Lonchura striata: one gene and its partners. The protein of the gene in region 2 interacts with the protein of the main gene of each other region in a biochemical or structural test. Links are inferred from orthologs where the notes say so. Each region holds a gene or a part of one and is shown on either strand. Other genes may lie near its edges.

Region 1 (7,245 bases), on a different chromosome or scaffold from region 2:
TCTAGTATGGTTTGGACTGCTACAACTACAATGGTGTATTTTGACTTGCAGTCTGATCCTACAGTTCCCTCATCCATGTCTTCCTTTTCTTAAATAGAAATCATAAAACATATTTATTAGAAATTTACCATCATCTATCTTCTAGAACTTCATAGAAATATCCTTTTTTTGCTTATAAATATATATGGGAGCTACATTTAATGTCATACTTAACATCTAAATTTTCTCTCTTTATGTGCTTCTTCACATAACAGTTTGCTGCTGCATGTTCTTGGAGCATGAGATGCCAGAAGTTCCAGCTAACAATTATTATATATTTTAACAGGAATAGTTTTGAGCTCTTGTCATACACATGTTTCTTTCCAGTTGTTCCTCAAGTCACGGTTAGCATCATAAGGCAAATTTACATTAATTATTATCCTACTGTCTGCTTTTTCTGCAGAATATTCCTTATAAAATCCCAGGGAGAAATAAGTCTACTATGCCCTCGTAATGCTTTTTGATCTGGACAAAAATATATGCAAACAGGGATTTTTAACAGCATCTGATATTTCCAGGTTTTATAATCATTACGTTTTCTGTCAGCATAGTTGGAAAATTGGGTATTCAGAATAATACATTTATTCTTAAATGCAGAAATAGAGCAAATCCAATGATATGGTAATTTAAGTAATTCTGTGAGGCTAATTCATCTCCTTCATGATTTAATTAAAATAACAGTTTCCAGACTGCAGATCCACCCTTTTCACTACTACTAGGCATATCTAAAAGAAGGCGCAGTGAATGATCCAGGTTCTCCCATTTCAGCTAAAATCAAATTATTAGGAGAGAAAAAAAGAGAGGTGATAAATAACCCTTGTTATACTGGATAGAAAAAGGATGTCAGCATTATGATTGATGTGGCTGTGGGTATCTTGGAAATCTGGTTTCTCATTTAGCAGCTTTCTCTCCAGACTACTCTTTTTTTTTTTTTAAATTTTTCACTATTGTCGTTTTTCAGAATAGACTTGATATGAGTCCCTGTTTGCTCAGAATGAATGGAGAAATATCCAAGTCCAAAAATAGAACATACGTGGTATTTTTATCCTGTTTTCTGAGTAAATCCAAGCTCTGGTACAGGAAATCATTCTCCCAGTAAAAATATCATCAGTTTTTACTGCTGTTCATCCTAAACTCAGTGGTAAATGGCCATGGTTTTGCAAACTTTCCCTGAGAAAATATGAAAGGGCTGCTGTTCTCTGGAGCATCAACTTCCTTGGATTATCCTGCTGAAGCACAAGGAATGAACAGATGTGCTTTTCATACAGGTTGTGTGGAAGAACTAGACTGAGGATAGGCTGCATTTTAGTCTGCCAAGTGTCTCATTAAACACTGCCAGTCATATTCAAAAGAAGAGTACTTGAGCCAGATTCTTTGACAGGAGAGTCTTACAGAGCCTAGTTAGTAAAATATGAATAAAATATGAACTTCCTGAAGTTCAATTCAACAACCGCTGGGAGACAAAACTTATTTGTGGAGGCAAGAATTCACTGCTATACTTTGGTACCTAAGGGTCTCCAGCACTAAACAGCTGAGAGGAGAGGGAAATGCAAGTTCTGAATCATGTCTCAGCACATCTGAAATGCTGTAGTGACCAGTCTTTTCACCTGATAATCCTGAGCTCCCACTGCTGCAAGGTTTTGCTTGTTTTGAAAGGAGCCCCCAATCTTACAGGACCTTGGATGTGTTGCCTTGGAGGGGAATAGAAATAACAGTGAAGCAAGCCTAGGGAAGAGCAGAAGAGCAAAAAGAGAAGGCTAAAAGGAAAGTAGAATTATTCATGGTCTGGAAGTGCAGTAGTACTGTAGTTCAGTCTTATTCACTGCAGAGATTACAGCAGGGAGGTGAGGGCTGGACTGAGGACAGACCCTGCCAGTGTGAATTTCAGCATAAATTAATATTGGGCATAGGAACATAAAAGAACTTTGTAAATCTCATGTTCCCTTTGCATGGAAATGTATTACGTCGTTGTGCATTTTTTCATAGCTAACCAGTGGTGCATATTTCTCACCTGCATCACAGTAAAACAGGACAAACCTGTGTGACAGAGATCTTAGAGATTCTTTACTATGATACAACATCTCTATCAAAGATAGTGATGTGCAGATATTCTCTCTTTGTTCTAATAAGGGATAATGATATTATCCCTTATCAATGTGAAGGAGCAGAGGAAATGTAATAGCTCTCAAATAAAAACTGTTCTCTGAGTACTATGAAAATAGAAAGCTGAATGAAATGAGTCAAAGTATTTATCTGCATATACTTAAAGCTTGTTTTTTGCTTTTAAATTAGTTAAAAATTGGATCAAGTTAGATCTCTGAGCTAGATTGAAATGCATGTGGTTACGTGATCCCTATTACATTAGAATGGATTTTAAAAAGCACAAAAAAGCCTTCTGCTTCTCCCATTGTCAGTTATGTGTGTATCACGTGTGCATAGAATCCTACACCACAGTTTGTTTATCTTTGCCCGAGAACATGCTTTAGCTAATAAAAACAAAATAACAGTGCTCAAAAAGGAATACCAAAGTGATTGGTCTGTTTCTACTTGTCTTTTTCACTCAGATGTCCACTGAAAATTTCATTTTAACAGTCACAAGATAACGTAAGACCATGCATCTGAGATTTTGAAAGAGAAGTAGAAGGTAAATAAGTCATTATCTTTTATCCCAAGTCCTTGAAACATCTCAAAAAAGAAATAAAAGGGTGTTCAAATTCTACAGATAAAGGGCAACAAAAGATTTGTTAGGGTCGAAATGACTGAGCTCCGGAAAATGCCCCAGAATTAAACTTTACTGATGAAGGAGTGAGTCTAGGTGATCCTAATGATTCCATAAGTTTACCTATGATAACTGGTATTTTTATGGCTTCATACATGTCCTTGTGTTGAAGTGATGGTAGGGGTTTGATCCATGACTTTGGTATGCCCCTGTGCCAGGTTACAGAAGAATCTGAGGTTTGGTATTAGAAATTAATTTATAGATGTTTTTAACTGTTTTTGAACCCAGATTTTGGGTTGCTTTTGTGCTGACAGGAGACAGTATTTTAATGGTGTTTGGGATGACATTAGTGATTTATTATATTGACTATGGAACCTGAAGTATTGTGAATGTTAAAAAAAAACAGTTAGCTCTAGGTGCTATTTATGTGTTTCACGGCACTGTTGGCACGACTTGGTGCCTGGCAGGCAATATGTTGATTTGGCTGATCCCCTATGCTCCCCTAAATAGTCATAGGTCATCCACTGACATGAGTGGGATGAAAGGTATGGGCAATAACTGATGTAGGCAGCAGAAGTACATGGATAATGTGGGTTGTGCTGCTGGGGATCTAAAGGGAAATAGCCACTGGGCTCTCTTGGTTGCTCTATGGAGGAGGAGCTAGGTCATGAGAGAAATGCCCAACCTATTTGCTGCACATGTTGGATTTGTCTCCAGTTGCAAACCCTTTGTGGCAAAGTGTCTGGTGTTGGCGCTGCCTTTGATTGCTTCTCGATTCAGTCTTTTTCTCCATGAGGGGAGTGCTTGCAGTTTGTACTGAGGTGGTAGAATTGGAGGTGGAGGGTCAAATATAGCCAAGCTGTATTTCCATGGCCATCCCTTACAGGGAGTGGAATGTGCCACAGCTTCAGTTTTCCAGGTGCAAAAGGAACAGGCAGTCTATACCCTGCTCGTGCTGCAGCGGGGAGAGGGAATTTGTTGCAGGATTTGAGGTGTTAACTCCCAAACACAAAACGGTACCCTCTAGCCATGAACTAGGTAGGACCTGCTTTCTGTTCAGGCACAGAACTAGGAGTGAAAGTTGACTTGGCTTCATTTGCGACAGGGCTGCAGGAGCAGAAGGAATGTTTGCTCGGCTCGGGGCCGAGCGAGGCAGCGCCGTGCAGGTGCGGGCACATCTTCTCTCCTCGTGCCAAATTTGATCCGGGCTTGGCTTTGGAATTCTCCGAGCGACCTCAACAAAGCGTTTCGCTTCCTTCGGGGCGCGCCCAGAGCAGCAGAGGCCGGTGCTGGCAGCATCGCTCGGGGCGGACAGCTATCGACTCCGGTAACGGCGGCGTTAACAGGGCGCGGGGGCAGGAGCCGTGCCGAGCCGAGCCGTGCCGTGCCGAGCCGAGCCGGCGCAGTGCGGGCGGCGGCCGGCAGGGGCCGGCGGCGGGCCGGGAGCGGCGGCAGCGGCGGGCGGCGGCTCCGGAGCAACAGGGCCGGCTCGGAGCGCCGGGGGCGCGGTGCCGCGGACTGGCCCAGCTCCCGGCTCCCATCATCCGCCGGCTCCCATCTTCTCCCGGCTCCCATCCGCTCCCGGCTCCCATCATCTCCCGGCACCCTCGGCCGCCAGCAGCGCCCGCCCGCGCTCCGGCCGGCGGCTCCCCGGCCGCGTCGCCCCGAGTGGGAGCAGCCAACAAGTGGATGGAGCGGGCGGCAGCCGGCTGAGCCCCGGACGTGCCGGGGGCAGGCGCCGCACGGAGCCGGCCCCGTCCTGCGTCCGCCGGAGCCCGGCTCCGCGCACGGATTTAGCCAGCGCTGATTTACGGAGCTGCCGCCCGAGCCGGGCTCGCCGGGACCGGCGGTCGCGCCTGCTCCGCCTCGCACACGCCAAGCACACGCACACCGCCTTCGTTTTCCCCGTGGGGACGAGACCCTCGCTCCTTGCCTTGTGGCCGATGCCGAGGCGAGCGGCTGTGGCGGTGCGCGGTGCCCCCAGCCCCGGCCGCCTCCCCGGCTCGCTGCCCCGGCAGCCGGCTGGAAGGGGCAGGAATAACCCGCCAACCTGTGGTGCGCACTGACCACAGCCACCTGCGAGCGTGGAGCAGCCGGCACAGCCCCTCCGCGCTGCTGTCCCCCGCTCCTTACACCAGCGGGAGCAGCGCTGCTATTTCTCTGCCTAGGATCGGTAAGTATAACGGTGTTTTTAGGCTTTTCTTCTGCATGACATGTAGGTACGATTTGAAAAATAGCGTCGTTTAATAGTTCGCGTTCACCTTCTCTGGTGTATTAATAGATGTGGCTATAAATGAGGCTTCTGTTTCAAAGGGGGGTGTGAGGGGCTGTGGGTATTTTTGTGTGTGTGCTTGCATGTAGACGTTGCTTCAGTGCACCTGCAGTTGTTTTCTTGACATATCAGGGTATTTTCACTTGGCTAAGCATTGTACGTGCCCGTTTCCAAATTAAATCCAGTGAGATGTTCATTGTGACCGAAACACAATTCTGCTGTGGATTAAAATGTAACATTCCCGCATCTGATGCGTTTCTGCAAATACAACAAAAGCTCTTTGTCAAGATACATTTATTCTTTAACGTTTCGTATGGATACATGGAGGTGTATCTCTTACGTATGTGCTCAAAGACCTGAATGCATTGTGCGTTGCAGTATTTTTATTAGTGTTTATATGTGTTGGTGTTTCAGAAGCATGCATATGTTTGTGTATGGATGCAAGTGCTTGTATGGGTGGGGATTTTGTATCTGTCTCTATATATATGTGACATACCCACCCACATCCTTACCCACAGAGTCGTTCAAAATCTCTGTGCATGTGATGTGGGTGTGTGTGTAATGTAGAAGTGTGAATAGTGTGGGCAGGAGAAGATTTGAATGCCATGGTAATAGATGACACAGTTTCATTTGATCGGTTGACCTTTTAGGAAAACAATCCAATCTTTTCCCTTTTTGTTTTGTTTATTTTTGTGTGTTTGTGCATGTGCCTCAGGTTAAGTGCTTCTTCTGCATGACCATAACCAAAGGGTGACCCATCCACTCCCCTGTGTCCCATGGGGACCTCAGAGCCAGTTTCTCAGTCTTCATCTCCTCCTCCTCCTCTTACCACTGCTGCTGATGCCCTGGGTGCTGCTCCCAGGTTTGAGACATTGTTGACAGGCTGAAGAATGGATTTGTAAAGACCTCCTCACTGTGTAAATGAAGTGATGGCTGGAATTAACTTCAACTCTCCAAGTAAGGACATTAAACAATACGTTTGCTAGGCCAAAGCATTACCAGGAACAAATAATGAGCAAAGAGTCTATTTGCATTTAGTTTTAATGATGAGCTAAAACTGTCTGCGGAGAACAGGTACCCTTTGGTTTGCATATTCTTTTCCTGAGGAATGCAGCCTTTATAGCCTGCGAGGCAGTCGTGATTCTGATCAGATACAGCTGTGATGGCTGCAGGAGATAAATGAAAATAAAGGGCCTTGGTGGATGGAAGAACAAGGTCTCAGCTGTTCTCTGGTCCGATCTGAGAATTTCATCTTTTCTCATTAGCGAAGCAGTAGCTTGTGTCAGACGTTCTGGAGAAGAGGAAAATGCGGATGTGTGGTTTTCCAAAGTACAGATTCAGTGTTGTGACCACGTTGCCACACTTGATGCGCAGCAGACTGTCCTCCAAACGCAAATGGCTTTGAACTTCCCAGCGAAGGTCGCGGTGGTGCTGTAAATAACGCAAAACCCTGTTACGGCCAGCGGTTACGAACAAAACCAAGCAGCTGCAGGATGGAGGTCGCCATGGTGAGCGCGGACAGCTCCGGCTGCAGCACCCACATGCCCTACGGATACGCGGCCCAGGCACGGGCCCGGGAGCGGGAGCGGCTGGCGCAGTCCAGGGCGGCGGCGGCGGCGGCTGTGGCGGCAGCCACGGCGGCGGTGGAAGGTGGGGCGGCGGGCGGAGGGGGACCCTACCACCACTACCACCAGGAGCAGGCCCGCGGGGCCTCCTCCTCGCACGGCGGGAGCGCCTCGCGCAGTGGCCTGCCCTGCCGCCAGAGCGGTAGGAGGAAGAAGGGCAAGAAGAGGAGCCACCGCTTGGGGAGCAGGGAGTGTGGCGCCTCCTTCCCCTGCTCCGAGCTGCTGCCGCTCAGCGGCTCTGAGGAGAGGATACTGAAGGACTTGAGCGAGGAGGAAGAGGAGGATGTAGATGAGGATGAAGATGACGAGGAGGAAGGGAAGCTCTACTACAGTGATGACTATGGGGAGGATGAGTTTTCATACTCGGACCAGCCACCCGATGACGGTGGAGGCCCCGGGGGTTACAGCTCCGTCCGCTACAGCGAGTACGAGTGTTGTGAGCGCGTGGTGATCAACGTGTCGGGCCTGCGGTTCGAGACCCAGCTGAAGACGTTAGCTCAGTTCCCGGAGACGCTGCTGGGGGATCCGGCCAAGCGGGGAAGGTACTTCGATCCTCTCAGGAACGAGTACTTCTTCGACAGGAACCGGCC
Region 2 (7,823 bases):
GAGATCCCAGTGATTCTAAAGTCAGGTACTTTAGAATCACACTTTTTTGCTGTGTTTTCTGCATAGTGACGGATGAATCCATCTGTTAAGTACATATTGCATATCTAAATCTGTTAATATCTAGCCTAAAATCTATCTAGATAATAAAAGCTATTTCCCTTCCGTCCCTTGCAGTGTTTCATGAGTCTCAGTCCTGCAGGGTAGGGTTGGTATCATCCCCTTCCATGAATTCTCAGGAACACTGAGCACAGCAGCCCTTCCCTGGTGCTGAAGGCTAAGGATTGTGAGCAGCCTGAGATGCTGCCTGGATCCCCACAGCTTGGGAATGTTGTCCCAGGGACTGAACGTGAGCTCTTCAACTCTTTTCTTCAGAAGGGATTAATTCAATTAACACAAATAACAAACCAGCTCACAGCACTCTATAAATAGACTGGTGGGCTTTGACACAGCTCCTGGCTATGCCAAGAAATGGGACTAATAATAGCTGCTTAACTGTGGGGTTCAGGGGGCTGGAGAGAATTGGCAGAGACAATGCCAGGATGGCTTAAACCTGCCATGAAAATCAGCTGGGCAAATGTGGAATCCCAGCATTGTCTGAGTTGGAAGGTACCTTAAATCTCATCCCATCCCACCCTCTGCCATGGCAGGGACATCTTCCACTGTCCCAGGCTGCTCCAAGCCTCACCCAGTCTGTCCCTGGACACTGCCAGGGATCCAGGGGCAGCCACAGCTGCTCTGGGCACCTGTGCCAGGGCCTCTGCACTCTCTGCAGTATCCCAACAGCCATGAAGGAAATTCTGCTGGAGGGGATGGTTCAGGGTGGGGGGCACAGAGCCCTTCACTGCCACACTGCCAGATCCTTCTCCTGGGGACTGTTTGGAGGATAATGGAGTCAAGAGATGTTTTTTCTAGCTAAAAAGCAGCAATTTCCCTCAGGGCTGAGGTCAGGGCCCTGGCAGCACCCCCAGTCCTGCACCTCAACCTCCTGCACTCCCCAGCCCCTTCCCCTCCCACTGCTCCTGCTGCCAGGAGAAATTCCCAGCTGGGCTTTTGTCACCGACGCACGCGTGTTTCTGCGGGAAGTTTCTATTTCTGTGAATAGCAATTTTTCAAGCAATTCCTCCCCCGCCTGCTCGCTTTCACAGGAGCCCTGACGAACGCCACTGGCATTCCTGGAAGCTGCAGCTCACTCCTGCATGCCAGCCCTGGCCAGAGACTTCTCCCTGTCATCCCAGCCTCTGTCCTACAGCTCCACGGCATGGGAATTATGCTCATGGTATCTTGTGAGGGTCAAATCGAGCTGGGACCACTCTGTGTGCTGGGTTCCCAGTGCTCACCGTGTGCCCTGAGACAGGAAAGGGCTAAAAAGAAGTGAGGAAGCCTGAAGGAGCCCCTAAAAAGAAGTGGGGAAGCCTGGAGGAGCCAAGCCTGTGGAAAACCCCAGAACATCAACATCTCTGCTTAGGGGGCACAGAGACCTCCAAGAACATCCTGGCATGTCCACTTTCTCAGGCCACAGCTCTTGCCAGGCCTAGGTGTGCAGAGGAGACAGCAAGTGATTGATTCCTGTCTTTGATTAAACCTTGAGCCAAGCCCCCCAGTGCTGGAGCCAAGCCCCCAGTACTTCACCAGTCTGTCAGCCCTATTTGATGGACCCCCTGCTCAGGGTGAACCTCCCAGTTTGGGACTGGGGTCTTAAGGGCACTTTGAATTCCTTGTTTCCATTAGAAGACACCACCTGCAGTACTCGCCTGGGGTGTCTATCCCACATAAGTTGACATAGGAATATTAATTGCTGTGTCATAGGAATATTAATTGCTGTATCACAGGAATATTAATTACTGAAGCAGGGGGTCCCACAGCCAGGCAGAAGTGGTGGCTGGGGGATGTGCTCTCTGCTGGGGTCACTGAGCAGTGGCCTCGCTGCACTCACAGGGTGAGGCTGTTTCCCCAAAGGAGGTGAAGTCAGAGTGCTGTGACCTGGATTCAAGGACCATGGTGCTTTCTCCATCCCAGCAGCAGCACAGGGAAAGGCACTGGAACCATCTGGATGGCTTCCATGCATCCAGGCCATGCTTATCAGCATCCCTGCCTCGGGGCACAGAGTTGAGAAATGAAAGGGAACAACCCAAATGGTGCTGTTCTGCTGCACTGAGAGCTGTTCAGAGATCCCACTGCTGGCTCAGATGGGAATGGGCCCTTAGAGGATGGAATTATCAAAAGCAGCTCTTGGGAATGAAAAAAAAGCTGGACAAACTGCTGATTGCAGCTGCCTGACTGGAAAATAAAGTGAGTGCTCCCAAGGCATGTAGCTCAGGGGGAATGAGCTCTGTGTCCACTTGAGGACCGAAAGACCAAAGTCCCCTTGCTGTTCCCAAAGAGAGAGGCACTGGACAGGGGATGGGATCAGAGGGGAATATCCTTGGGGTGATGTAGAAGTGCTTGCCACAGTGAGCATCACCATACTGCAAAGGCAAAGTGTCACTTAAACCCCGAACATTTTAGTGAAAAGAAAATCAGGAATATGTAAAGCATCTGTTTTGTAAAGAAATAACCTTCAGGGTTTTCTCTGCTGCAACCTCAAGAAATTCCACAGCTGCTACTGCGTGGGAGGGAGCCCAGGGAGCATTTTTCTCCTCTGTGTGAGGCTGATGCTCAGGGCTGGCTGCAGCCCCTGGCTGGGAAGGGCTGTGCTGAGCAGCACATGCTGCAGCCCCCCTGCCTCAGGTGCCCAGAGCTTCTCTCCACCCACTTCTCAGCCAGCCATAAATGTTACAGAATTCTTACAAATCCTTGTGCTTTCCAGAGGGGCTGAGACCTCAGTAGTCCTGTCCCAGAGGCTCCTGGCACTGCTTGAAACACTCTGCAAGGGGCAGAGGGGATGTGCCAAGAGTGATTTGCTACTCCTGGAGGTATTTTCTAGTCCTAATTAATACAGTAAGAATGAGTGTCTGCCAAGGATGTAAAAATACTCGCGTTTTCAAGATCCAGGGCAAGTAAGGAAAAAGCAATGCAGACTTGTCTGAATGTCTGCAGACACCATGTCCCCCTGCCCAGCTCCTGTTTAACACCCATTGGGACTCTAGGGAAGTTCCTGCCCTGGCTGTGGCCGCTGGGATGAGCCACAGCTCTGTGCCCAGCTCCCACTGCTCCTCCTGTGACAGCCCAGCGCAGGGACACCCAAAATGTCCAGTGTGGGGGCAAGTTTTGGGATGAGCAGCTGGGAGCCTGTGTCCCTTCCCATGCCAGTCCCAGGATGGAGTGGGAAGTGCCAGGTCCTCCTGGTGCCCTGTGTCAGGCCAGAACAAGGAGCACTGGGGAGCACTGGGGAGCACTGGGGAGCTGTATCCCTGCTGGTGCCCCATCCCAGGATGGTGAGGGGAGAACCAGGCTCTTCCAGAGTCCCATCCCAGGATGGACCAGTGGGGCCCTGGTGTCCTGGCCTCTCCCCATGCTCCATCCAGGCCAGAGTCGTGTCTTTCTGGTCTCCCCATCCCAGGCTGGAATGGGAAGAGCTAAGGAGCACTGGGCCCTCCAGGTGTCTGTCCTAGGATACAATGGGGAGCCCTGTGTCCATCCCAGGATGGAGAGGAGAGCTGTGTCCCTCGTGGGCAGGCATGGGGAGCCCTGGGGAGCGCCGTGTCCCTCTGGTGCCCCTCCATCCGGGCTGGAGAAGGCAGTGCTGGGGAGCACTGGGAACATCGTGTCCTCCCGGTGCCTATCCCAGATGGAGCGGGGAGCGCCGGGGAGTTGTGCTCTTCCCTGTGCCCCATTCCATGATGGGGAGCACCGCGGAGCTGTGTCTGTTCCTGGTGCCCCGTCCCGGGTTGGTGCGGGGAGCACTGGGGAGCATCCCGGTGCCCCGTCCCGGGAGGGAATGGGACGGAGCCGCGGTCCCGGTCTCTCCCAGGGCTGTGTCCCGGTCCTGCGGGGCGGTGTGTGGCGGGAGGGGACAGGGCACGGAGCGGTGCGGGGCGCTGAGGGGCGGTGCGGAGAGACTGTGCAGGGTGTGGAGAAGCGGTGCGGGATAGGAGGTGAGGGGCGGTGCGGGCGATGTGGGACGGGGGATAAGCGGTGCGCGGGGCGCTGAGGGGCGGCGTGGAGCGGTGCGGGGCGGTGAGGGACGGGCGGTGAGGATCAGGCGGTGCGGGACGGGCGGTGCAGGGCGGTGCGCAGGGCGGTGAGGGGCGGTGTGGGACGAGCGATGCGCGGGGTGTTGAGGGGCGGTGCGGGACGGTGTGGGACGAGCGGTGTGGGACGAGCGGTGCGGGACGAGCGGTGCCGTGTGAGGGGCGGTGTGAGGGGCGGTGTGGGACGGGCGGTGCGGTGTGAGGGGCGGCGCGGGGCGGTGTGGGACGGGCGGTGCGGTGCGGTGTGAGGGGCGGTGTGGGACGGGCGGTGCGGAGCGGTGTGAGGGGCGGTGTGGGAAGGCGCGGGGTAGTGTGAGGGGCGGCGCGGGGCGGTGTGAGGGGCGGTGTGGGACGGGCGGTGCGGTGTGAGGGGCGGCGCGGGGCGGTGTGAGGGGCGGTGTGGGACGGGCGGTGCGGTGTGAGGGGCGGCGCGGGGCGGTGTGAGGGGCGGTGTGGGACGGGCGGTGCGGAGCGGTGTGAGGGGCGGTGTGGGACGGGCGGTGTGGTGCGGTGTGAGGGGCGGTGTGAGGGGCGATGTGGGACGGGCGGTGCGGTGTGTGGGGCGGTGTGGGACGGGCGGTGCGGAGCGGTGTGAGGGGCGGCGCGGGGCGGTGCGAGGGGCGGTGTGGGACGGGCAGTGCGGTGCTGTGTGAGGGGCGGCGCGGGGCGGGCGGTGCGGTGTGAGGGGCGGCGCGGGGCGGTGTGGGACGCGGAGCGCGCGAAGATGGCGGCGGGCAGGCGCGCCCCGCGCACCGGGCTGCTGGAGCTGCGCGGCCCCAGCGGGCAGTGGCTCCGCGTCCTGCTCACCCTGGCCGAGGACGTGCTGGGGGTCAGCCCCGCAGACGGCCCCGGGCCCGGCCCCGAGGCCCCGGCGGCGCAGCTGAACGGCGGCGAGCCGGGCTCCGCCGCTCCCGAGGCGCTCGCCAACATCAGGCGCACCGTGCGCGTCGTCAAGCAGGACGTGGGGGGGCTCGGCATCAGCATAAAAGGTGAGGCCGGGCCCGGGGGTCCCGGGGCGGCGTGGGGAGAGGGCATCGGCAGCGGGACCTGTTGCTGCTGCGGTCCCGCGGCTCGCTCGGAGCGAGCCCCGCGGGGAGCGGGGCTGGGGTCGGGGTCCTCACCGTCCCCAGCCCCAGCTTAGCACGGGGAGGGGATACGTGGCAGTGACGGCACCGAACCATTCCCAGCCTACGGAAAGAGCGATGATTTGGGGTGCGGAGTGACCGGCCAGTGCCTGCCCGCCGTGCCCGACCGGGGTGAGGGACCCCAGGGTTTGTGAGCCGGTGGGAGACCCGCTGTCCCCTTCACCCACGGGTGGGGTGCTGGGGGCACCGGGTTACGCGAAAGTTTCTCTTTTGCAGCCAAAAGGAGGGCTGGGCCGGCGTGTCCTTGTCCTACCGTGTTCCTGAGTTGGGAAATGCCCCTTTAAAGCTGTCAGCAAAACGAAGGGAGGGATGTAAAGCCCCGGGAGATCTGCCGGCGCTGGGTGGGGTGTTAAACCAGCGCGCTCGAGTTTGGAGATGTGCTCCCGGGAAGCCTTTCTGTTTTATGTCTGTTTTCCCTCCCGAGCTGTTCCGCTCCTTGGTGACTCGCCTGAACTTCAGGCTGGAAACTTCTTAGGGCAGTGCCGTTCCTGCCTTTCTGCCTGCCTTTGATTTTCACGGGGCTCCGAGCGTGTTGGAAACTGTGAAAGCAGGATGAAAAGGGCAGCGCGGAGACAGGGACAGGGCTGTCACGGAGCGTGGCTGTGAGAGGCAGCGGGCCGCCCCGGGGCAGTGACAGGACAGCTCTCCCCTCCTGACGTGGCTTCTCCTCCCAGCTCAGAGGGGGCACAGACGCAGCCTCCGGCTCCCTCTGGTAGTGGGGAGGTTTTGCAATGTGAATGTGCGGCTGCTGGAACTGGATCGACACTGCTGGCCGTGTCTGCAGGGTGCCCCAGCGTGCCAGCCCTTTTTTTGGGAAGCACAAACCCCCTTTCGTAACCACCCCATGGCTGCCAAGTTATTGCTTGCTCTGTGGCTCCTCCAGGAAAGGAGAAACTTCCCTTGGTTCAGTTAAAACTTTACTTTTGCAGTGACGTATGTGGAAAAGATGTAGTTGCCATCAAAAATGGGTAGTGGAAGGAGTTGTGGAGGGCGGGGCAGCCTTGGTAGGGCAGGACAATCTCCTCACCGAGCTGCTGGCATGTCGCTGTTCATGTGCCAGCCGTGCTTCATGCAGGGACACTGGGTGCCACCTGGGGTTGAATGTCCTGCCGCAGGACGTGGCTTGGGGCTGTCAGGACAGCGGGGAGCCGAGCGAGAGCCGGGCTGGCGGAGGCTCTTAGCTCTGGCAGGGCTCTCGGCACTGGCAGCCGGGCGAGGAGCCGCTGGCGCAAGGACGGAGCAGCCCCCGCCGGGGCCTCTGACAGCTGATAACCGGAGCCCTCACTGGCTTGGCAGGCGGCTGAGCGAGGAAATGCCTGTGGCACCGGCTGGGAGCAGCCCGGGGCGGGCAGTGACAGCGGGCTGCGCTCAGCATCTCCCTCTGGGATGAGGATTATCTCTTGGAGACTCCTCGGGACAGGCTGTCCCGGGGCGCGGGGCACATCGGGCACTGCTGATCCCCGGCTGCCACGGGCAATGGCTGCTGCATCCCTGTGCCCTGGCACGGAGGCGGCTCGGATCTCCCTGCGGGTTCAAAAGTCGATGTGCAAATTGATCTCCTGAAGCCGCCGGGAGTTTGAATAACATTCTTTTAGTCAGGACAGTGGGGAGCACCCGGCAAATAGGGCTGCTGTGTGGACAGGAACATGCAGCCAGATTGGTTTACCTCTCCCTGCCTCTTTGGCCTCTCCAAAAACATTCAGCTGTGTTATCTGTTGAGATCATAAAGTCCTTAGAGCCAGGATAGTTGCTCAGCATACATGATTAATAATGCAAATAACGATACACTTTCCTGCCAAAACTGATGGGGAGATGGCCAGGTTATGTGTTCACTCTGTGAATAATCCGTGACCAATCTGAGCGGTTTTGGAGCAATCACTTCATCAGCTGTAAAGCCTCATGGTACTTTGGCTGCTGTGGTTGGTACAGGTGTCCTGTGGGTATCTGGGGGAGTGGGCAGTGGGCTGACCTGGCACGGTGCTTTGAGTGCCAGCAGAAAGGCTCAGCCTTGCTGAGACCATCTGGTACCACAGCATCCCTCTCCCCACACACTCCTCCAAGCGCTCCTACAGCCACAACCGCTCCCTGTCTCTTCTGTTTCAAGGTGGCCGAGAGAATAAAATGCCCATCTTGATCTCCAAGATCTTTAAGGGGCTGGCAGCAGACCAGACCGAGGCGCTGTACGTGGGGGATGCCATCCTCGCCGTCAATGGCACCGACCTGTCCGAGGCCACCCACGATGAGGCCGTGCAGGCCTTGAAGAAGACGGGCAAGGAAGTGATCTTGGAAGGTAGGAGACAAAGATGTGATGAGGGCAGAATGGTTCTCCTTCTTGTACTGGGATGACACAGGGGTGGCATATCATCTGCAGCTGCATTTGCATACTCTTTCAAATGGAAAGCAACATATGCAGAGTAATTTGTCTGCTCATCCGGAGAGCTGGAGGTAACTGCTGGGATCTCCCTGGATCTCCCTGTCTCCTTACGGAGAGGGAGGGATGTCTGTGCCAGTACTCCATGCCCAGAGGCTCTGTCTCCCCACTGTGGGA
Region 3 (7,904 bases), on a different chromosome or scaffold from region 2:
CAGTGGCTTCCCTGAGTCATAAGTTTGGTGTAGGTCAGAATTTGGAAGCTTGCACATCAAGACAGTGCAGAGACAAATGCAGTCCAGGAACTGAGTGGAGGAGACATCACCGGCTCAGCAAACAGGTGAGTTTAAGCCTGAGGTACACAAGAGCAAGAACATGCAATGGGTGTAAACCAGATCTGAACCCTGTAAGGACTCAGAGCTGACTGAATGGCTCAGATTCATTTATTTCTAGGGAAGACAAGCAACCACTAAAACACTACAGGAGTTGGGACCTCAAATATAATTACAGCCCCATTGGCTGAAATTACAGCTGTGTCAGCCCTTTTACCAGCAGGAATACGTAATTCATCTGCTTCAACTGAGCACTCCTCAGACTGCACATAACAAGCTTAAAGCTGGAAATCCAGTCCTTCCCCAGCCTCCACTCAGCCTCACCTTCTGCCCCTCCAAAACCCCAATTTGCTTCTGTTCTCACTGCTGCTCGGGCTGCTGGAGGCGTGGGGGTATTTGATAACATCACAGAACAGTCTGGGCAATCTCTGCTATTTAAAACCTTGACTTAAAACTGCCTGGTGTACCTGGGAGGGAACAGACACTGAACTGAACCCAAATAGTTCAGAATTAGTACTGCCACCTGTAAATGACACTTACCAGAGTAAGGCCAGGTTGGCTCCAGTAGTGTCTGCAAGCCCCTGGTGTGATTATTCACCCAAACAGGGCTGCACTCAGCACTTACCACAGCACTCACAAGCTTCAAAGCTCCCCACAGACAAATCAGGCAGCTTGCTAAAGCAGATCTCCAGGTCTGCTGCCAGGGTGAGGTGCTGCAGCTGGCAGAGAGGAGCCCTGGTGTCCCACGGTGTCCCCACTGCCTGGCATCAGTGGGCAGCACAGGACAGCGCCTGGCACAGCCCTGCCTTTGGAGGAGCAAGCTGATAAAGTCAGGATCTGCTGCCATAAGAGTCCTCCAGCAGCCTCCCCGTTTGCTCCTTAAGGACAGGAGTGACATAATCCTCTCCTAATATCAGCTGAGGGCTCGGGGGGAACCAGGGTGACCCACAAACTGTACCCATGGCAACACCGGGCTCTAGCTGAACTCCCAGGCTGGCATCTCCAAACCACTGACACTTCTTTGTATTATCTGATCTTTCCCTGATGTCATTTCTGCAGAGACACACAAAAACAGATTTAATAATATCCACGGCCTTCAGCTTCAGAGTCAACAATCACAGTCACAAACAGATCAGCTATTCTGCCTTCAAGCTTATTATTTGTCACTAACATGTAATTATTACCAAACAAAACAAAAGACACAGGATATTGCTGCTGTTGCAACAGCAAGTAAGTTAAGCTCTTTTTCAAACTGAAAAAGCCTATCTCTTCTGATGCAAGCAGGCACAAAAGAATAAAAAAGTTTAAAATTTAAAGAGCCCATGAATCCCACAAAATGCATCTGGAAGGATAATCAGAAATTTCCTTGCTTCTCACAAAAAAAACCCAAACAAAACCACAAAAAGTCAATTTGACAGACAGGTCTGTCCAGCCAATGTCATAACTGTATTGTCAATAATTTTGAGTTACAATTTTTCTTTCACAAATAAAAGGAGTTAAGCTGCAATAGCACCTTATAGATACAATACCAGCAAAACATACCAGATGGGACATCAGGCCCTGGCAAGGAGAAAAGAAGCTTTAGAGTTGTAAAACTCCAGTGCAGTCCTGTCCGTTGAGTTTACAAAATGAAGCTGCAGCAGCATCACACGCTGAGCAGGAGGAGGCCCCGAGCAAGGCTTGTTACTGCACACTGAAACACTGAGCAGGGCTTGGACGCCTATTGTATTATTCAAGAAGCCTTCCAGCTTGAATTGTAAACTGGGAAGAACATGGTTCACTGAATGGATGAGTCCAGCTTTAAAAACAAATAAAAACTTTTTTAAAAGCTCTAAAATCAATGGGCTAATCTACTAAATCCATACAGAAATCAGGAGAAGGAAATACGAGAGGGAACGACCGAGTAGGAGAGATCAAGAACCACCTAAAGAAAAGAGACCTAAACATCCAAATTCAGCATGTTCACAGAGCTTTTAACACACCCCTCGTAGAGAAGGAGCGCGTACAACACTCATACTACCAGGATACACTCCGAAGCGGCTTTTGGCAGCAGAACAGCATCAAAACTTCACCGCCTCGAGCTTGAACTTATTACCAGCAGCCCCGCACCGCGAGCACGGGTTTAATTGCCGTCCCTCGCAGCCCAGCTCCGCAGAGAAGCTTGCTCATCCCGAAAGCGGGCCCGCTCGGCCGCGATGACTGCGCACAGGCCTGGCCGGAGCCCGGCGCATCCCCGGCCCGCCACACCCAGCGCTGCGAGCCGCGCTCTGCCCATGCTCATCCTCAGCCGCGGCCCGCCGCCCTCCTTATAAAGCCGGCAGCGGAGCCGCGGCGCCGGGCAAGGACGGGGCACGGAAAGTTCCCCGCCGTCCCGAGGAGAACTGCGGAACCGCCGCGCCGCCGTTGAGCGAAACCCCCGCGGGAGCCGAAGGGACCCCGCGGGAGCAAGGCCGGGGAACGCCCGGGACCCCCCCTCCACCCCGGCCGACCCCCGGACCCGGCCCGGCCGCCTCCCCCGGGCAACAAAGCCGCGCCCCGGCAGCGCCCGCTCGCTCCGCCCGCTCCCCCGGGAGATGCTCGGGGATGCTGCGGGCGCTCCCTGCGCGGCTCCCGCGCCCCGCAGCCCCTGCCGCCTCCCGGCCCGGCCGCGGGCACCGGCGAGGCCGGAGCCCCCGCCCGGGCCGCGTCGGGGAGCGCCGCAGCCGCAGCGCGCTGTCCCCGCGCCCCGTGCCCGGCCGCAGCCCCCTCCCCGCGGCCTTACCGAGCGGCGGGGGCGCGGGGCAGCGCCGGGACGGAGGCGCCGGGACGGAGGCGCCTGGCGAGCGTCGCTGTCCCCTGCGGGCCCGGCGGGAGGAGGAGCGGGGAGCGGAGCCGCGCTGGCCGCGCGCCGAGCGCACTACCCTGCTGGCTGAGGGGGCGGGGCCCGCGCCGCCCGGCCAATCAGCGCCGCGCCGCGCCCGGCAGCGGCCAATCAGCGCCAGCGCGGGCGGCGCGCGGCCGCGCGGGGCGGAGGCGGCGCCGCGGTGAACGGGCAGCGCGGTTGGGCGCGGCGCGGGGCGGGGACGGGGGCGGGGCCAGAGCGGGGGGCGGGGCCAAGGGCGGCGATGGAGGGCGGGGACGCGGCTGAGGGGACAGGGGAGCTGAGGGGGTCAGAGGAGCTGAGGGGGACAGGGGCGCTGAGGGGGACAGGGGAGCTGAGGGGACAGGGGAGCTGAGGGGGACAGGGGCGCTGAGGGGGACAGGGGAGCTGAGGGGGACAGGAGCTGAGGAGACAGGAGTTGAGGGGACAGGGGAGCTGAGGGGGACAGGGGAGCTGAGGGGACAGGGGAGCTGAGGGGGACAGGGGCGCTGAGGGGGACAGGGGAGCTGAGGGGACAGGGGAGCTGAGGGGACAGAGGTGCTGAGGGGACAGGGGAGCTGAGGGGACAGGGGAGCTGAGGGGACAGAGGAGCTGAGGGGACAGGGGAGCTGAGGGGACAGGGGCGCTGAGGGGACAGAGGTGCTGAGGGGACAGGGGAGCTGAGGGGGACAGAGGAGCTGAGGGGACAGAGGCGATGAGGGGACAGAGGTGCTGAGGGGACAGGGGAGCTGAGGGGACAGAGGCGATGAGGGGACAGGGGAGCTGAGGAGACAGGAGTTGAGGGGACAGGGGAGCTGAGGGGACAGAGGAGCTGAGGAGACAGGAGCTGAGGGGATAGAGGAACTGAGGAGACGGGAGCTGAGGGGACAGGGGAGCTGAGGAGACAGAGGAGCTGAGGGGACAGGGGAGCTGAGGGGAGCAGGCTGGAGGGACAAGGCTGAGGGCGTGAAGGCGATCCCATGGGAAGCATGCTGTGGGGCAGGAAAGGGAGATATTTAAAGAGGGAGAAGAAGCCCTGGGAGCGTGCGCACGCCTGGGCGGCACAGCACTCGTGGCTGTGAAGGAGCCGAAGGAGCCTGGTGACAAAGCAGGGCCCAGGGACAGATGGAGCGCCCAGCCGCCCCTCCAGGTGGCCGAACAGCGGGGACCACTCGTGCTGCTGCTCATAATCCTCCACGGCCCTTCTGGCCCAGAAAGGCAGCCCTCTGTGCATGCAGGAGGGCAGGAGGAGAGCAGGAGGATAAAGGGATGACGTGTAGCCAGCAGGACGGTGAGGGATGAAGGGATGTGTTTTTACAGTCACAGAATCGCAGACTGGCTTGGGTTGGAACTGACCTTAAGGATCATCTGGTGCCAGCCTCTGCCATGGGCAGGGACACTTCCACTGTCCCAGGTGCTCCAAGCCCCATCCAGCCTGGCCTGGGATCCAGGGCCAGCCACAGCTGCTCTGGGCACGTGTGCCAGGGCCTGCCCACCCTCCCAGGGAGGAATTTCCTCTTAATAAAAATCTAAATGTACCTTCCTTCAGCTAAAGGCATTCTCTGTGTCCTGTCCCTCCCTGCCTTGTCCCCAGTGCCTCTCCAGCTCTCCTGGAGCCCCTCCAGGCCCTGGAACTCCCGACCCTGAGTGTCCCTCTTGTCACTGCTCTGCACTCGGACACCGAGCCAGCGACCAGCTGAGTGTCCATCAGCCCCTTCCTCACCCACCGAGTGCTCCACCCGGGAAATCCCTGTCTCCCCAGTCTGGGGACAAGGATGGAGTGTGGGACAGTGTCCAACACTTTACGCAAGTCCAGGTGGGTGACACGGCTCACTGTTCCCTCATCCACCAGCACTGTCTCCTCCGTTGTCTGCCCTCAGTGAAACCATTTCCCGTGGCTGAGGTGACACTGGGTTGATGCAGTGACAGCAGCCACGGAGGGTTGATGTTCCATGGGAGGAACATCCAGCCTCGTTCTTCAGGGATAAACCATTCCAGCGTGTTTTGGGAGTTAACCCGGGCAGCAGGCAGGGAGGGACACCGGCCCATCGTTGACAGCTAGGCTCCTGCATGTCCCCGAGGGCTCTGTGTCACCCATCTGCCCAGAGGGAGCTGCAGAGCTACTAAATCATGAAAATACATGACACACTGGCTTGCCAGATAAGCAAATCAAAGCACGGTGACTAAAACTGAAATAGGTGTGTCTCATGTCTGGTCACTGGAGGGAGGAAACGCCCTTGGCATGAGGTGTGGGAGGGGGCACACCCCATCCAGGCAGGGTTAAGCTGCACCCTCTGCCCACCTCTCTCCAGCCTCCCAATCCTGGGTACCTTTCCAGGGCTGGAGCCGGTAAGGGGAAATCCCATGTCCTGATGACAGGCAGATCCATAACAACTGCTTGTACCATGTGCTATTTTTAAGCTCCAAATAAAATAGCATCCTGATGGCTCTCTTTAGGAGGGTTGGGCAGAGGTTTGAATTTCAGAGCTGTCCCAGCCTACCCTGATCACCGGACCCTTAAAGATCCCTCCCTCTCTTTCCTTAGGAAATCCACCTCTCTTCCCCTCTGGAGCCTTTCTGCTGCCTGTCTCCTAGAGCAGGACAGTACCTCCTGTGTCTGTGGAACAGACTAAGTAACTCAACAAAAAACAGGGGTTAAATTACAATAATACAACAAAAAATACACATCAGTGTGTGTCTGACCACTGCGCTGACTGCTTTTGGCTTCAAAAAGAGATTCTGGGTTGTTCCTTCTAAATTCTGAGCTTAGAATTTATTCCCCAAAAGAAAACCCTGAGAGCCCAAAGCCAGGCCTTCACTGCTCAGTGATCACACAGGAGCAAACCTTTGGTGGATTAAGGACATGGTGTGCCCAGGCTTTGGGATTTCCTTCCATGGAACCAAGGAAATCAGAATAACAGGGAGGGAAGGAGGGAAGGAGGGAAGGAGGGAAGGAAGGAAGGAAGGAAGGAAGGAAGGAAGGAAGGAAGGAAGGAAGGAAGGAAGGAAGGAAGGAAGGAAGGAAGGAAGGAAGGAAGGAAGGAAGGAAGGAAGGAAGGAAGGAAGGAAGGAAGGAAGGAAGGAAGGAAGGAAGGAAGGAATCCAAGCTTAGCACAGCTTCTCAGGGCACTGTTTAATATGAAACTCCCTTGGTTTAGTTTAAAATCTGACATCTATTCTTTGCTTCCTGGGAGCAACCTCAGGCCACACTCCATTTGTTGCCTCCCCACATACTTCACCTGTGCAAAAATTCAAAGCATCTCCTTTATCTTTGTCCCGCTAAAGAAAGTAACCTATTTTCTTTCCACTTGCTTTTCCAGACTCCGAGTCCCCTCCATCTCCATGTGGCCTGGAAGGGAGGGCAGCAGGAACCAATGTCCTCGGTGTAAGGCAGACAAGATCTGTGAGACGCCGCAGGTGTGTCTGTCCTTGTCCCGGCAGAGGGAGGGATTTTGTTTGGTGAGGTTGATGGCAGGAGAGAAGGTTCTTAGGCAATGGCTCTGCCCTTTCATCAGGTCAGACAGGGAAGGTGGCTGTGAAAAGGGAAAGGACCCAGCTCATCTCCCTAAGGAGTCACTCCTGGCCAGCCCCATTAGGCCAGCAGGGCAGGTAGGGCAGCCAGCACCGGGGCTGGTCTCAGCGTGGGCCTGACCCGTGCTGGGTGAGTCCCCTCTGGGCACTGGGAGAGCTGGAAAGGGAAAGCTCGGTCTGGGGAAAGCTCCTTTGTCACCACTTTGATGGGAGCCGGTGCAAATGAAGGACGCTGGGTGACACAGCCCATCCCAGGGCACTGACAGCACAAGTGTTGGAGATAAGCAGTAATGAACCGGGCAGCTTTCCTGCCCTTTGGCAAGAGCTCGTCATTCCCTGCTCAAAGCAGGGATGTGGGTGCCCACAGGGGCAGCGGTCTGCCCGGGCTCTGGGGTCTGTCTGAGCTCCAGGGTCTGTCCTGGTTCTGGGGTCTGTCCTGGGCTCTGGAGTCTGTCCAGGTTCTGGGGTCTGTCTGAGCTCCAGGGTCTGTCCTGGGCTCTGGGGTCTGTCTGAGCTCCGGGGTCTGTCTGAGCTCCAGGGTCTGTCCTGGTTCTGGGGTCTGTCCAGGCTGTGGGGTCTGTCCAGGTTCTGGGGTCTGCCCGAGCTCCGGGGTCTGTCTGAGCTCCAGGGTCTGTCCTGGTTCCGGGGTCTGTCTGAGCTCCAGGGTCTGTTGAGGCTCCAGGGAAGCAGCGCTGCCAGGGCTGAGCTGTCACTCCTCGCATCCCTCACTCATCCTGGACAGAGCCCGTGCAGGGGTCACATCCAAAAAGGAGTGGCCAGCAGTGCAGTCAGTAAGTAATGAACATTAACTGTATCAAGGAGAAAAACTCATGAAGCAGATCTCGAAAGGGTTTGAGTGGAATTGCCTCCACGCTTGGAGCAGCACCCACAGACTCTCATGGTCAGGAAATTTCTGCTCATTCACTTTTGAATGTCTGTAAACAGCTTGGAGAATTTGAATACTCTTACAAAACAGATGCCTCATCACTCCCCTATCACGGATCAGGGATGCAAGGAGAAGGTAACTACTCAACGAGGCAGGACGCTGCTCTGGAGACAACAGAAGCATTGTGGGTCACTGGCAGACGTTTGCCAGCCAGACAGGGCTGTTCTGCTCATCAAAGCTGACTCCAGCACAATGGAAGGCATGGAATTTTGGCCAGGGATCCCAGCCATCCCAGAGACCTGTCAAGGCTCTCTGACTGGTCATGGGATTTGCCTTGCAGCTGGCACACCCCGTGATCTCCTGATCTGGGATCTCTCTGTCAGCTCTAACCTGGTGTGGGGCTACAGAGGAGGAGGAGGAGGAGGAGGAAGGTGGCTGGGGGCTGCACTGAGGCTGGGGCAGTGAATTCCATTGCCAAGAGTTCTGTGGTGCCAGAAAACACAGCTCCTGCTGCTGTCCTGCACCACGGGT
Region 4 (7,012 bases), on a different chromosome or scaffold from region 2:
TCAAGAGATGCAAACTCTACAACTAAACATGAGAAATGTTATCCCTTCATTCTGGAAGTACACAAGCAGTTTTGGAAGTCAAGATAACCATGATTGTTTTTTGTGAGACAGGACCTGTGAAAGTATTTCTTCAAACTACAACTCAAACAAAGGAATATTGCAGTGATTATGCAGAAACTCAGTCCTTTTCCATCAAGAAGAAAGTCCTCCTTCTATCTTTCTTGGATTACTCCCACAGAGATGTAATTTGGAGAAAAGTGGGCAGCACTGGAGTCCTAAGGATTGCATACCTGGGTCTGTAATGTCACAACACACCAAGAGAAAATACTGCAAACAATAATTTAAAAAACCAAACCCTTTGGTCTTTAAAGGTGCTTTAAAGTTGCACTGCTGGCACTACAAAACTCACACTGGCTGCCATCTAGATATTTTAGTATTACCCTAAGTACAGGTGATCCAAACTCTTCTGCATCCACCACCATTTCAGGTTTTCACCAGCCATAGAAATGCAATCACAACCTGTCCCTATGGATGCTGTAAGGACTCCTCCACTCAGTGGTATTTCAGATTTCCACATAAGGAGAAGTACTCATGTGAATACAAAGGAATAACTAAATACTTTACACAAAGAGTGCTGCCTCAGTATGAGGCAGCTGGAGACTGGTTACAGGAAGAGTGCCACTCCCCAAAAAAGCAGTAGAGGTGATGTATATATTAAACATCACCATTCCTATTTCAACAACCATTGTATTTCTTCTATTCTACTTAAGTTCACAATAGAATAAATCTTATCATCCATAAGTGGTTGCTAGGATTCTTAAGACTGCCTTTTGTCACAAGGTCTTTAGAAGATTTTTAAAGGAGATGATGAGATGTCAAGCAGGCAGCTAGACTTTTTTCCCCTGATAATAGAAATATCAATTATATCAATCTTACAGGAAAAGGAAATAACTTGACACTTTACTATGTAAATATCACTATGTTCAAATTCCACTGCTCCCTTGAATAAGGATAAAGATTTTATAGAAAAAGTAAAAAAAAACCCAGAACTGATTCTAAAGTTTGGGCTTTTTCAAAATATATTATTTTTTTAACTGTTATATTTGTTTCCACTTCTGGAATTTGCTTTTATAACTTTAATTTCAATAGCATAGAAGTTCTTTTATAATCAATTCTTGTCTATCAATAAAGATGAGAACCACAGACTCTAGGTTTGTAAATTCCTCTCCATGTGCCACACTATGGTAATGATAATCTCCAAGAGTTTAAGTGCTTCCCTCACTAAGCGTCAAAGCCTTGGACATGAAGAAGTAAGCTTGGTAAAATCTGCCTGTCAAGGAGCAAGAGAAGATGGAGATGCCAACACAGCCCCTCTAAACAGCAAAGGTATATTAAGACCTTTAAACAATCCAACCAGCAAGAGACGATCATACTTTCAGCACCATTAATGGAACCATTTTGGTTTTGCCCAGTACATTAATTTAGATTTTGACCTTCTGAAATACTGAGGGTTTTGATTCTTCTGTGCTGTTTGCTAGAACACAGGCTAAGTTGAAGGGAAAAAAAACTATGGTTATCTAGACTTTTTCATTTGTTATTCCTCCCAAATTACTTTATGTCCTGCAGAAGCCTTCCCTTTTCCCAGAACTTTCCTCTTTAGGATTCTTCTACTCAAGCTTCATTCTACATCAACTTTTGTTGCCTCTCCAGCCCCTAGAGACATGACAGAAACAGGAACCCTGAGCTCCCTCCCTCCCACACACAAGAACCTAAGGCATCACATGAATCCTGTGGCTTGTCCCTCCCAGCTATTTTCATCTTCTGCCAGTGTCACAGCTGTGGCTCCAACACCTGGTTTGTCTGCATGTCTCACCACAGGCAGCTAAGCTGGCACAGAAAGACACCATTTCACCAGAAGAAAGGAGCAGGCAGAGATTCCAAGGCTGCAGCTAACTCCATCTCACACTCCTCCCTGAAAGCCTCCCACTCGCACCCAAAACCTGGCACTCTGCTGACCTGTTTCCCCATCTGAGGGGGCTGCTTTTACAACCAAACCACAACAACACTGCCCACAAATGTGCTGAGAACAAACACCACGTGGCCCTACGTGTGTCTCTAGTAAGCTCCTCCTAGGCTGCTGAGAGCTAGCAAGCAGAACTCTGAGTCATGCTTTTTGGGTCAGAGCTCAAAAAGTTTTGGCTGTTTGACACAACAGGGCTGCAATGTACTGCTTGGAGTCCCTGCAAAAACAAGGCACAGGTGTGCTCACTGCTGTTCCACACTACAACCCCTCTGGGGCAGAGCCAACACAGCAAAGGACAGTTCTTGATCTGAAGCCAGTGACAGGCCTGCTTTAGATACAGCAAAAAGTCCTCCATGTTAAAAAAAAAAAAAAAAAAAAAAAAAACCAAGCAAAACAACAACAAAATCACAAACAAACTCCTCAAAAAACTCTCCACCCTACAAACAAAAACCCCAAACCTCTTAATGTTTCCAAAACAATGATACTAAACATGCATCTTCTTAAAGAGGAATCTAATTAGTGAACTGGAGCATAAAGTCAAAATGTAAACCAATGTTTGCAGTACCGAAGAATGAGAAATACATAATTAGTGGCTATCCTCACAGTCTGAAGCCAAAGATCTGTTATTCTGAAATGATTCCACTGTCAGTAGTTTCCAACTAAATGGAGGCAGAACTGCAACAGCAGCCTTCAAACTGAGTAGATCTGACTGCAGATTCAGGGTATGCACTCAGAAAGGTGATGCAATCCAGACTTACACATTGACATCTCTGAACGCTCGGAGCAAGGCGTGTTGTACAAATACAGAAATGTAGCTGTGGATGTAAACATTAAGGCAGACATTCATAGGCAAAGTTAAATTAAGCCCCACAAAGAATACAAAGCATACACCCGTAGAACCGAAGCCGTGTTAGGTTAAAAATTTCATCAGATATTTGTTTTTGAACTACATCTATGACAAGAATTAAATGACAATGTAAATTACCTCAGCCACCTGGCAGGCAGGGAAATTTGCTGCAGGGAACAAACAGGTAGTAAATAAATAAATTAAGAATATGTTATCAGGCTTTGAGAGAAAGGGCTACAAGGAAATGGACTCTTTTCCCTCCAGCAGAGGTCACAGCAGTCAGTAGGAATTATTAGCATCATTCTCATAACACACGAACAAGCCAAGCTGCCAAGTAGCTATGCTGCAATAGTATTTCAAATCCTGAAGAAAATTTCTCTTCAGAAAAGGAAATTGAGCTCCTTCAAGAAACTACACTTGTCATTTAATCTCTCATTCTATATTTTCCTTGTTGCACATCTACTCTCGAAAGACCTCTGACAACCCTGCATTTTGATGCAGGGCTTTTCATTTTAGTGAAAGACACCAGAATAACACAATAGCGTCTTAGGAATTGTAGCCCATTTTTTTTCTTCTGGCAAATTGAAATTGTATAATCATCACAAATTCATTAATAGAGAAGTTACAAATGGAGTGCATGGATGCCTGAAGGTTTAACATCTGTGAGTATCTTTTCCAACTGATCGAATGCCTGAGCTCACAACTCCCAAAGAGACTGCTGGTTCCTACTCTCATTTCTGACCACAGAAATTCCCACAAAGTAAACTAAGGCACATTTTTATTTTTGTTTCCTCATATAACAAAGACTTACCCTGGTGAATTGTATTGTTATGATGTGTTTTGAAATGGATGGTAGTTGAAAAAACTGATCTTTGAAGGAAATGCTGTGCATGCAAAATGCTGATTTGCTAAGGAGAAACCTCTGTGTCTGTTTCTCTCAAATAACAGCTTACCAATTACATTCAATTGATGAAACGCTACAATTTACTATGGAGCACACATATAGCTATTTCCAGACACCTCTTGTTTAAGTTGTTAATGTGTTTTTTGACAAAGAAAAAAAAAAAACAACCCAACTACATCCACCAGGTAAACCAGATTATACCCAAACCCGGTTTCCTCCTCTTGCTGAAGGAACTATTTGCTCTATTTGCACACCTGAATGTGGAACACACTAAATATCTGCCTGCTTCAGCTGGGAAACAATACAGAGCATAAACCCCAAATAAACTGGTGAGCTAAGTGGTCCCCTCACTATCTATTTCATATCTATTGTTTCAACATATTTAGTTGTAGCACCAAGGTTTTCCAGAAGGCAAATTTAGGATATACATTTTGGGAGGAAGTGGGAAGAAACAGTACCTAGTCACTTACATTGGCATAGGTTGTAAATCTGGCACTGGATAGCATGTGATGGAAGAAAAATACATCAGAAACACTGAAATACTACTGCTGCTATGAAGGCTGGAGAAAATGAACAGCTCCTTGGACTGGAATGATGAAGAACATAAATTCTTCTAAGGATATTTTCCTCATACATATACATGTAACATCTATCAGCATTATCAAAATTTTATTTTACTTTTTTCTTTGTTTTCTCTCTTTTTTTTTTTTTTTCTTTTTACAGCAAGAAGGCCATTTGGTCCATCAGTATATTTGGACTTTTAGACTATAATATTTCCCTTTCCTAAGCATCCAGGTCATCAGCTAGTTGCTGCTTTCTAGTTTTCAAATTTCTGCTGAGAAATTATTAAATAAGCAGATTATCTCATCTGTACTCTTATCTCATTTTACTCTTCCCATGGCCACCCAACTGCCTCAGCTGCAAGGTAGCACAACTGTTTGCATCAAAGACCATCTCCATCCAGGAGACATTCAGTAACAAGCCTGTTCAGGTCACACCCTGCACATCCAGCAAACTGGGAATTAAAAGGACAGGCCAGATGTCAGAGCAGCTCCTTAGTGACAGCACCACTGTGGTAGCAAGAGCCATTTCACAGAAATCTTAACTTCAACAACACATGGCCATTAGCTCCAGGCATGATGCATGAAGCAAGGGAATAAAATCTCTAGCTATGCTGAAAGATCAAGAGGTACAGGGCTATCTACTATATACACCTACTTTTTCCTTTTAACAGTATTTGGGATGTTTTTTCTTTTCCCCCTTCAAATATGGATGCTCTCAGTTCTAGCAGCACAGGAAGCACATCCCAATGTGTAGAGAACAGATCACAGTCTGTTCTCCCCTCAGGAACCAGGAGTCTCATTTTTGCCTACACACCTAGCTCTTCATGACCCTGGGGACCAGGGGGCAACGTTTCTCACCTTTCTTGTCCTCTACTTACCCTTCAGGATGGCTGTAGCTGCCAAATCCCTGTCAAACAGTGCTTAAGGGGTTGATATTTGACTTTTGGCTAAGAGGTCCACTGCTCAAGCAGCTGCTCCTATCTTTTGAGAAAAAGCAGGCACTGGATAGAAACCTTTTGCATTTCTGATTCTGATGTACCATCAGACAGGACACACTCGTAAGGCACAGACTAGTTTCAAGAATATGCTCAGTGCTCTGTAACTGAAGAAAATAAAACAAAATTATAAAATAAAAAGAAAACAATAGCTGTGTCATAAAAATGTTTCACAAGATATCAGTTATCACTAAAGAACAGATGGCAGAGATGTTATATCCTTATGAAATCCAGTGCTATTCTGAAGGGCTTCATTGTTTTGGAACCTCCTTGAAACTGAAAACCAAATCAATTTATACAAAAATATTACCCAATTACACTTGCCACTGCTGACTCCAACTGTTGGGGAAATGTGAACACACATAAGTGTGAAGTTATCTGGTCTCAGACTATAGTTTTCCATAGAAAACTATGGAAACTTATTTATCTGAACTAAGAGGGCAACAAAGATGCACCTGTTTTACTGAAGAGGCAACCAATGATCACAAGCAAAGTTAAGAACTACTAAAAGTTTATGTGAAAACAGAGGGAACAAAGTCATCCTGAAGCCATGATCCAGCCCAGTTAAATGTACCACCACCCCTTGCTATACCATTTCTCTTAGCAAATGCCCTCTAAACCAACCACGACTCACATCAGCCAAGGTTCCTCTTCAGAAGCCTGACACAGATTTGCCCTTTCTGCAGCCCTGCTTCCAGGATCCACATACATTCACCACTCCCCTTCCTTTCCTTCCCTATGACTGTGCTTTTTAAATAGACAATGAATTTTAAACTCCTTAAGGATTGTTTTTTAAATAACCCAGGTTTTCAATGCTGTCAAACACTCAGACATATTGGCAATATGGAAAAGGATGTTACAGACAGCCTCAGAAAGAAGGAATAAAAATTTTTATGCCATGATTTTTCCCACTTGGTCTCATATATGCACATTTCCACTGCATTGTTTCCTATCTCTTCTGAAGTCCAAGCAAGCCCAAAGACAGCAGACAGCTCTTAGAAATCCAAAATGCTCCATACATATTTCACTTGAACATTGCCCTCAGAGAGCCTGTGGGAGGTATTCAGAAAAGCAATCTTTGGCTTAGTGACGCTTGTCCCCTCTAGCCCGATCTATTGCTGACACAGAAAAAGTGACTCTTCCAAGGAATGGGATGCAGAAACTAGTATCTCTCTTGGGCAGTGAACTCCCTTTTGGAAGAGCCATTTTCTCTCCCCTGACCATGAGAAGAGCAGGGAGAATGTTCTCTGAAGGATTTTACATGCATTATCATCACTGAAGGCCCTTCTTAGCTACTGCTACAGATGACTCCTCACTTAAATTTCTAGCCATATTCTCCTACACCTCCCTACCTAAATCCATCACTCAGCTCTTGCTCTCTAAATATAGCATGCTAACAACTATGAAAGGTGTCTCTAAATATATTTAGTTTACCTAAATGATACTTACTCATCAGTGCCACGTGCAAGTCTGCTATTACTGGATAGCTTGCTACTAACAGAAAAATAAGGAACCTTTTCATAATGCAGTTAAGTTACAGAGGAAACAGGTAAACATAAATATAATTAAGATTAGTTTATGACAGAATCTGTCACTGAGAATCTTAAATGGAGACTCTTCACTGCACCTTAGCAGCTCTTGTAAGCAAGATGCCCACGTTGCAGAGTATTGTGTGCTTTT

Evidence for each region.
Region 1: the proteins of SNTA1 (region 2) and KCNA4 interact in a test that uses a peptide from one of them, tested with the Homo sapiens proteins (2 studies listed by BioGRID and IntAct). The link is inferred for Lonchura striata from reciprocal best matches to the Homo sapiens genes SNTA1 and KCNA4.
Region 3: the proteins of SNTA1 (region 2) and MAP4 interact in a test that uses a peptide from one of them, tested with the Homo sapiens proteins (2 studies listed by BioGRID and IntAct). The link is inferred for Lonchura striata from reciprocal best matches to the Homo sapiens genes SNTA1 and MAP4.
Region 4: the proteins of SNTA1 (region 2) and FRMPD4 interact in a test that uses a peptide from one of them, tested with the Homo sapiens proteins (2 studies listed by IntAct, with this or other methods). The link is inferred for Lonchura striata from reciprocal best matches to the Homo sapiens genes SNTA1 and FRMPD4.

Annotation. Positions count from the first base shown.
Region 1 is NC_134608.1:61,417,496-61,424,740, forward strand, and holds the start of KCNA4 (potassium voltage-gated channel subfamily A member 4), read left to right. Parts: upstream 1-4,229; 5' UTR 4,230-4,931; intron 4,932-5,745; 5' UTR 5,746-6,523; coding exon 6,524-7,245. UniProt on the Homo sapiens protein: Voltage-gated potassium channel that mediates transmembrane potassium transport in excitable membranes. Forms tetrameric potassium-selective channels through which potassium ions pass in accordance with their electrochemical gradient.
Region 2 is NC_134619.1:12,417,902-12,425,724, reverse strand, and holds the start of SNTA1 (alpha-1-syntrophin), read left to right. Parts: upstream 1-4,817; 5' UTR 4,818-4,854; coding exon 4,855-5,119; intron 5,120-7,379; coding exon 7,380-7,565; intron 7,566-7,823. UniProt on the Homo sapiens protein: Adapter protein that binds to and probably organizes the subcellular localization of a variety of membrane proteins. May link various receptors to the actin cytoskeleton and the extracellular matrix via the dystrophin glycoprotein complex.
Region 3 is NC_134603.1:156,288,247-156,296,150, reverse strand, and holds the start of MAP4 (microtubule-associated protein 4), read right to left. Parts: upstream 3,011-7,904; 5' UTR 2,879-3,010; intron 1-2,878. UniProt on the Homo sapiens protein: Non-neuronal microtubule-associated protein. Promotes microtubule assembly.
Region 4 is NC_134604.1:98,557,532-98,564,543, reverse strand, and holds the start of FRMPD4 (FERM and PDZ domain-containing protein 4), read right to left. Parts: upstream 3,002-7,012; 5' UTR 2,871-3,001; coding exon 2,782-2,870; intron 1-2,781. UniProt on the Homo sapiens protein: Positive regulator of dendritic spine morphogenesis and density. Required for the maintenance of excitatory synaptic transmission. Binds phosphatidylinositol 4,5-bisphosphate.